Xenopus tropicalis: one gene and its partner. The protein of the gene in region 1 purifies or fractionates together with the protein of each later gene. This does not show direct contact. Links are inferred from orthologs where the notes say so. Each region holds a gene or a part of one and is shown on either strand. Other genes may lie near its edges. The genes, in order: stk38l and mob2.1.

Evidence for each region.
Region 2: the proteins of stk38l (region 1) and mob2.1 purify together in Homo sapiens (affinity purification with mass spectrometry; 9 studies listed by BioGRID and IntAct, counting the BioPlex papers as one, with this or other methods). This does not show direct contact. The link is inferred for Xenopus tropicalis from reciprocal best matches to the Homo sapiens genes STK38L and MOB2.

The regions. Positions count from the first base shown.
Region 1 is NC_030679.2:3,011,185-3,015,778, reverse strand, and holds the start of stk38l (serine/threonine-protein kinase 38-like), read left to right. Parts: upstream 1-1,515; 5' UTR 1,516-1,530; coding exon 1,531-1,664; intron 1,665-2,936; coding exon 2,937-2,988; intron 2,989-3,870; coding exon 3,871-3,993; intron 3,994-4,306; coding exon 4,307-4,390; intron 4,391-4,493; coding exon 4,494-4,594. UniProt on the Homo sapiens protein: Involved in the regulation of structural processes in differentiating and mature neuronal cells.
Region 2 is NC_030680.2:21,630,419-21,634,222, reverse strand, and holds the end of mob2.1 (MOB kinase activator 2), read left to right. Parts: intron 1-96; coding exon 97-257; intron 258-857; coding exon 858-951; intron 952-1,905; coding exon 1,906-2,030; intron 2,031-2,319; coding exon 2,320-2,612; 3' UTR 2,613-3,320; downstream 3,321-3,804. UniProt on the Homo sapiens protein: Stimulates the autophosphorylation and kinase activity of STK38 and STK38L.

The DNA of each region.
Region 1 (4,594 bases):
AGTGAGTGCTGCTCAGTGAGTGCCAGACAGGGGTGCAGGTGAGTGAGGCTCAGTGGGTGGGTGAGTGAGGCTCAGTGGGTGAGTGAGTGCTGCTCAGTGAGTGAGTGCTGCTCAGTGAGAGAGTGAGTGCTGCTCAGTGCGTGAGTGCCAGACAGGGGTGCAGATGAGTGAGGCTCAGTGGGTGAGTGAGTGCTGCTCAGTGGGCGAGTGAGTGCTGCTCAGTGAGTGCCAGACAGGGGTGCAGGTGAGTGAGGCTCAGTGAGAGAGTGAGTGCTGCTTAGTGGGTGAGTGAGTGCTGCTTAGTGGGTGAGTGAGTGCTGCTTAGTGGGTGAGTGAGTGCTGCTTAGTGGGTGAGTGAGTGCTGCTTAGTGGGTGAGTGAGTGCTGCTCAGTGGGTGGGTGAGTGCTGCTCAGTGAGAGAGTGAGTGCTGCTCAGTGAGAGAGTGAGTGCTGCTCAGTGAGAGAGTGAGTGCTGCTCAGTGAGAGAGTGAGTGCTGCTCAGTGAGAGAGTGAGTGCTGCTCAGTGAGAGCGTGAGTGCTGCTCAGTGAGTGCCAGACAGGGGTGCAGGTGAGTGAGGCTCAGTGGGTGGGTGAGTGAGGCTCAGTGGGTGAGTGAGTGCTGCTCAGTGAGAGAGTGAGTGCTGCTCAGTGAGTGCCAGACAGGGGTGCAGGTGAGTGAGGCTCAGTGGGTGGGTGAGTGAGGCTCAGTGGGTGAGTGAGTGCTGCTCAGTGAGTGAGTGCTGCTCAGTGAGAGAGTGAGTGCTGCTCAGTGCGTGAGTGCCAGACAGGGGTGCAGGTGAGTGAGGCTCAGTGGGTGAGTGAGTGCTGCTCAGTGGGCGAGTGAGTGCCAGACAGGGGTGCAGGTGAGTGAGTGCCAGACAGGGGTGCAGGTGAGTGAGGCTCAGTGGGTGAGTGAGTGCTGCTCAGTGAGTGCCAGACAGGGGTGCAGGTGAGTGAGGCTCAGTGGGTGGGTGAGTGAGGCTCAGTGGGTGAGTGAGTGCTGCTCAGTGAGTGCCAGACAGGGGTGCAGGTGAGTGAGGCTCAGTGGGTGAGTGAGTGCTGCTCAGTGAGTGCCAGACAGGGGTGCAGGTGAGTGAGGCTCAGTGGGTGAGTGAGTGCTGCTCAGTGAGTGCCAGACAGGGGTGCAGGTGAGTGAGGCTCAGTGGGTGAGTGAGTGCTGCTCAGTGAGTGCCAGACAGGGGTGCAGGTGAGTGAGGCTCAGAGCGCACGTAGCACGAGGTTTGCACTAATTGCTCCCAGCCAATCACCAGCAGCCGGGGGATATTTGGGCCCCACCCTGAGCTGTAACACTGGCTCCTTGTGGCGCTAATGTCCCGGGTGGGGGGGGGCACCTTCCCCTTTTTCCCCTATTAAACTTACAGGGATTCTTTGTAACCTCTGCCCCTCCCATCCCATTACCCACCCACCGGCCCTGCTGGGAGGCTCTTCCCTGGGCTTGTAGTAGTAGGTACCGGGCCAGGCAGCACCAGGGTCATTGGGCTCTTTCTGTCTCCTCACAGGCACCGTTACTATGGCAATGACAGCGACGAACCCGACGTCTTGTCCAATGAGCAGCCACACCCGGGAGCGGGTCACCGTGGCCAAACTCACTCTGGAGACTTTCTATAGCAACCTGATCCTGCAGCACGAGGAGCGAGAGACCCGGTACCGGCACTTATGGGCTCGGGGGGTTCTGGGTATCATGGGAAATGTTTTATAGGGGGTTCTCTTACTGTCTGTGGGACTGTGGTACCAGCACCCAGCATCCCCCCGATATCCAACTGCGCTCTGATTGGCCCATTGGGAGATCCCACAGCATCTAGCTCAGGCCAGTTAGTGGGGGATTTGGGGTGAGTGCTTATTTGTGCCCTGGGTACCCCTGGAACTATAGCGGGGTGACTGTTACCCCAATGTTTCTATATATCTGTAACCTTGTTATGGGCTAAGGGGGCCCAGCCTGAAGGCCAGTTAGGGGGGGATTTGGGGTGAGTGCTTATTTGTGCCCTGGGTACCCCTGGAACTATAGCGCGGTGACTGTTACCCCAATGTTTCTATATATCTGTAACCTTGTTATGGGCTAAGGGGGCCCAGCCTGAAGGCCAGTTAGGGGGGGATTTGGGGTGAGTGCTTATTTGTGCCCTGGGTACCCCTGGAACTATAGCGGGGTGACTGTTACCCCAATGTTTCTATATATCTGTAACCCTGTTATGGGCTAAGGGGGCCCAGCCTGAAGGCCAGTTAGGGGGGATTTGAGGTGAGTGCTTATTTGTGCCCTGGGTACCCCTGGAACTATAGCGGGGTGACTGTTACCCCAATGTTTCTATATATCTGTAACCTTGTTATGGGCTAAGGGGGCCCAGCCTGAAGGCCAGTTAGGGGGGGATTTGGGGTGAGTGCTTATTTGTGCCCTGGGTACCCCTGGAACTATAGCGGGGTGACTGTTACCCCAATGTTTCTATATATCTGTAACCTTGTTAAGGCAGGAGCAGCACTGGGTCCCCTATTTATCCTATCACTGGAACCATTGACTGGTTACCATGGTTAGTATGCCTAGCAACCAGATAGTGATTCAAATTCCAAAACCAGGAGCTGCAATAAGTAACAGTTCTGACTCTGTAACCTCAGAGGAACTTTCTGATCTGCTATTTTGCTCTGCTGATTCCTGTGCATTGATGTTTCACATCCACAAATCTGTGGAGATTCAGCTTGTGATTCGCTCTCGGCCGCACTCCTTCTTATTGGCCGAGGGTTGGGCAGGCTCACTTGCCCCCCCCCCAGGTTATTATAGTACTGTTGGGGTCATTCCTTAGACCAAACAGCCAGGAAACCCACAGGCTGCAGATGACTTTATGCTGCGCAGGACGACTTTTAAAGTAGTACAGTCTGCAGCAGTCACTAGATCAGACTGATGATATTATGTGTGTGTGTGTGTTACAGGCAGAAGAAGCTGGAGGTCGCCATGGAAGAGGAGGGCTTAGGAGACGACGAGGTAATTTATTTGGTGTTATTTGACTATATTTGCCCCCCCAAATGCCCTCCCCCGATTGTTGCACGCAGGGTCGGACGGGGGGGGGGTGAAGGGCCCACCCCTAAAGGGACATTATAATATAAGTCTTATGCTTCATTGAACATAAAGAAGCAGTGTATGTGTTTGGTATTTCAGCAGCTATCTAGTTGCTAGGGCCTTGTTTACCATAGCAACCAGACATGGGTTTGAACTGGAGACTGAAATATGTATAGGAGAGGGACTGAATAGAAAGATAAATCATTTTTAATTATTTAGAGTGAATTAAAGTGAATAGGAAAGATGTAGAAGAGAAAGACAAATAATTCAAAAACTGTAAAAAAAAAAAAAGCAAACATATTAAAAATTAACTTAAAGATGAACCTACCCCTTTAAGAGAATGCACTTACCTAGGCAGTAGCCAGGGCTGATTTCCCCAACGTTTTTGGCCTTTGCAGCACTGCCGGCTTCCAAGGAGTTTAGCCTCAAGGTCCCTCAGCTGTTTGGATTCACTGAATGCTCCCCCTAGTGGCAGAATGCAGAATCTGTTAACGGATTAGCAACACCCCAAAAAAAAAAAAGTATAAGTAGTATAGGGGGTTCTGCAGTCATGGTAGAAGGGGGGTCCCGACGTGGAAAGTTGGAAAAATGGGGGCTTACAATAGGGGCGGGGCTTTTGTGGACTGGCATGGGTAGGGTGAATATGTGGCAGAGTGAGAGGGACATTGAATCCACATTTTACTTGTTGGTGGGGGCCCCCGGTGACCCCCCTGGTTAGTAGTTTAGGGTCCCATGATGCCTGTGGGTGACAGTCCCAGTTGTACATCAGTTCATTGAAACTCTCGATCTGACCAATTGCCCCAACAGAAAAAAATGCGCCGGTCGCAACACGCCCGGAAGGAAACTGAGTTCCTGCGCCTGAAGAGGACCCGGCTGGGCCTGGAAGACTTTGAGTCCTTGAAAGTCATCGGCCGAGGAGCCTTCGGAGAGGTGGGTGTCTCTCTCTATCCGGCCGAGAGCAACTTTCTAAATCGACATCTTTAAAGGGGAAATTGCCCAAATTGGTATTAAAAAAATTGGAAATGTATTTGCTATTCAGTAGTTTATGTTCTCTGCACTGCTTGTTCTGACTCCTGAACCAATGTAGTAGTAGCCAGATGATGGAGGAGATCCGACTTTCATTGTGTTGTTTCAAGAGTCAGAACCAGAAGGGGCAGATAGTGCTTCTGCCCCACCGTCCCCTCCCTACTGAATCCTGGGAAAGCCACGGATACATTTTTTAATAAAAATCGACCAATTGCAGGTCCGCCTTGTTCAGAAGAAGGACACCGGGCACATCTATGCCATGAAGATCCTACGCAAGGCTGACATGCTGGAGAAAGAACAGGTACGTCTGGTTCCTTAAGAGGCTTTTGCCTCAGGTGTCCCTATGCGGGTCATGCAGAGCCTCTTTGTTCCCATAATGCACCTCTCTCTCTTTGGCGCAACAGGTAGCGCATATCCGGGCGGAGCGGGACATCCTGGTGGAAGCGGATGGGGCCTGGGTGGTGAAGATGTTCTACAGCTTCCAGGATAAGAGGAACCTCTATCT
Region 2 (3,804 bases), on another chromosome or scaffold:
AACCGTGTGGTGCATGCGCGGCTCCCAGATGCACCTCAGTACCCCAACAACACATTGCGCCACACAGTCCCACACAAACTGTTTTATCTCCTGCAGGAAATCGAAGGGAAAGCCGAATGGGAAGAAGCCAGCGTCGGAGGAGAAGAAGTTGTACCTGGAACCAGAATATACCCGGGTCCGAGTCACAGACGTGGAGTTCAAGCAGCTGGTGACCCTGCCGCAGGAGATCGACCTGAATGAGTGGCTGGCCAGTAACGGTGCGTGCCCCTTGCGCAGGCTGGGGTGGCTCCCCGAGAGATTATTGTATTATAGGGGCTCATTGAAGAGGGTGGCAAGGGGCAGAGGTTTCTTTTCGCCATATTGTATCCTTACCCCGCTTTGTGCCCAGCATTGTCAGTGTTTGTGCCCTGCTGCCCTGGCAGGGGCTCCCACCATGGAAGGTGCAGGTTGTACATTGCTCACCAGGGGGCGCAATCGCAGCTGGAGCTCGTACTTAGTGGGCATTCATTGTATCCCCGAGCTCTGCACCTTCTGTGTAAAAGAGGGATTGCCAAATGTTAGGCACCCCCCCCAGTGATTATATTCACTTACCTGATACCCCCGGCGGGTGTTCCTGTTAGCAGAAAACTGCATCAGCCCGGGTGCATCTGAGTGAGCGCGAGAAATAAGTAGCAAGAAATGATCATTCGGTGGTACTTGCAGAAATACCCCATGGTGATTTTACCTTTCCTTTTCCTTTAAGGGGATGCATTAGTGTATAATTGAGGGGTCCCAGCCTTGTGGCCCTTAGTACTCCAGCACTAGCGCCACCTAGTGTTATTCTTCCACCTGACCTGCTTTTCCCCTCTGTATTTCAGTTACAACTTTCTTCAACCACATTAACCTTCAGTACAGCACCATCTCAGAATTCTGCACGGGGGAGACCTGCCAGACTATGGCTGCCTGCAATACGTGAGTTTATTCTTCCTCGCAATAACAAACCCCTCTTTGCACCGTTGCCCCCTAGGATCGTAGGCCTGACCCTCAGTAATGGAGGATTCGACACCCACCTTAATGGCCACCTCCGTCTCACAGGGCAGTGGCGAAGCCCTTGCGTGATTTATAGTTAAATGCAGCTTTTCAGGGGGATCACCACTACACTTGTTGAGGGGGCATCTGCCCAAAATGTTGCACTTGACTGAATTCATCTGTCCTGTGTGCCGACAAAGGCTTTAGTGAGCAACATCCCTCCGGTGTATCCTGCTACATGTACTACTCATAACCAACCTGCCTGCCCCTGGCGGCCGGGCACTGTATTCTGCCCCTGGCGGCCGGGCACTGTATTCTGCCCCTGGCGGCCGGGCACTGTATTCTGCCCCTGGCGGCCGGGCACTGTATTCTGCCCCTGGCGGCCGGGCTCTGTATTCTGCCCCTGGCGGCCGGGCTCTGTAGTCTGCCCCTGGCGGCCGGGCTCTGTAGTCTGCCCCTGGCGGCCGGGCACTGTAGTCTGCCCCTGGCGGCCGGGCACTGTAGTCTGCCCCTGGCGGCCGGGCACTGTAGTCTGCCCCTGGCGGCCGGGCACTGTAGACTGCCCCTGGCGGCCGGGCACTGTAGACTGCCCCTGGCGGCCGGGCACTGTAGTCTGCCCCTGGCGGCCGGGCACTGTATTCTGCCCCTGGCGGCCGGGCACTGTATTCTGCCCCTGGCGGCCGGGCACTGTATTCTGCCCCTGGCGGCCGGGCTCTGTATTCTGCCCCTGGCGGCCGGGCTCTGTATTCTGCCCCTGGCGGCACCTTCCTCCTGCCCACCCTACTCAGGCCGCCTCCTTGTTCCTTTTGGGGTAGCCCTACTCTCCCCTTACCCTGCTGTATATGGATATCTGCCCCCCAGTATAACACCCTTTCCCTGTGCTTTCTCCCATTACAGACAGTACTACTGGTATGACGAGCGGGGTAAGAAGTTAAAGTGCACAGCCCCACAGTACATTGATTTCGTCATGAGCTCTGTACAGAAGCTGGTGACGGATGAGGATGTGTTTCCCACCAAATACGGTGAGTAAGAGGGTTTGTTTCCCCTTTCATTTTGGGTTCAGGGTTATTAGGAGTAGGACACACAGGTTTCCTATACATTTCCTTGGGAGGCAGTAGGACTGGTAAGTCATTGGCATGGGTACATGGTGCTTGTTGGTTGCCATGGCAGCTGCCACTGACTGACCCAGAGATATAAGAGCAGTAACCAGACTGGACACCCTGTTGATTTGAATGGGCCTATGGCACCCATCATTGCTCTGATTGGCTGATATTCGGGATGGCGGATTTACGTGCTATTTCCCTCTCGCAGGCAGGGAATTCCCTAGTTCATTTGAGTCGCTGATTAAGAAGATCTGCCGATACCTATTCCACGTTCTGGCTCACATCTACTCTGCGCATTTCAAGGAAATCACAGCCCTGGAGCTGCACGGACACTTAAACACTCTCTTTATCCACTTTCTCCTATTCGTGCGGGAGTTCAGCCTACTGGACCCCAAGGAGACCTCCATACTGGACGACCTGTCGGAAGTCCTTTTCTCGGAGGAAAACAGGGAGGCTGTGGGAGCTACGGGGGAGGCACAGAACCACGTGAAGGAGAGATGAGTCCCCCCCTTAATGTCCTTATTCCTGTCCCACCACTGCCCCTTCCCAGCGTGCCCCACCCCCTACCGAGAGCTGGCTTACCTCCTGGCTTACAGCACAGGGGAGGAGGGGGTTCAGGACCTGCGCTGCCAGCCTTGGGGGTGTAGGAAGGGAGCACTGGCTGTTATACCCCGGCCTGAGGGAGGAGCAAACCTCGCTCTTATCTTTAGCAGAAAGTTGCACCGAGTATCACCTTATTTTTATTTTGTGTTTGCGTCTGTCTCTTTCTCCCCTCCCCCTCCTTGTTTTTGTTTCTTTCTCATCTCCCTCCCTCCCGTCTTTTCTTTCGTTCCCCCTCTCATCATGGGTGGCAATGCCGTGTCCGGCTTCATTCTCTTATCCCCCAGGAAAGATTTGCATCTTCTATTTTATTTTGCTGTGGTTTTCCAAGAAATGTCTGAGGCTCCTGAGTCGGATGATTGGGCGGAGAGCAGCCAGGGCTGGAAGTGTACGAGGCTCCTTCCTGGCACCTTGTGTGGCCTCTTGCTCCGGAATTGGATCCGCTCTCCCGCGCCCGCCCCATCCTTGGGCAACAACTTCTCTCCCCGACTCCATGGGGATGGGGGAAAGCAGGATGCTCGCCCCTCATTGGGGTGGATAAATACTGTTGGCTTCTTTTAGTTTATCTGTTAAATAATGATAATATTAATAATAAAACAGATTCTATTAGACGATGTGGACGGAGTTTTCCATTGGAGTCGACATGGGGCATTTTATGCACAGCCGCTAATTGTTCTACCCCCCCCGCCCCCTTGCAGCTCATCGTAGAGGGTTAAAGTGATAGTGCCACATTTATCATTGTCACTGTCACTTTAATAAACTCTAAGATGACTTTTGTATCATGCCCCCTGCCTGTCCATTGTCCTTTCGGACCCCTTAAAGTGCAACGTCCTCTTCCGATACATTGTGCCTTTGCATGTTGTCTAGCATCTCACTGTGCCCCCTCCCAACATAGATTCATAGGATGCACAGGATTCACGTAGGGACCTTGAACTGTACAGTGGTGACAAATGTGCACTATACAGGGGTATTATGTGAATATATGCCCCCTAATAACATTGTAAGAGGAAGGTAGTCACACTACCCAGTAGTGTAACCCATAGCAACCGATATTTGCCTTTAAGCAGATGACCAGAAAGTTCTACCTGCTGAT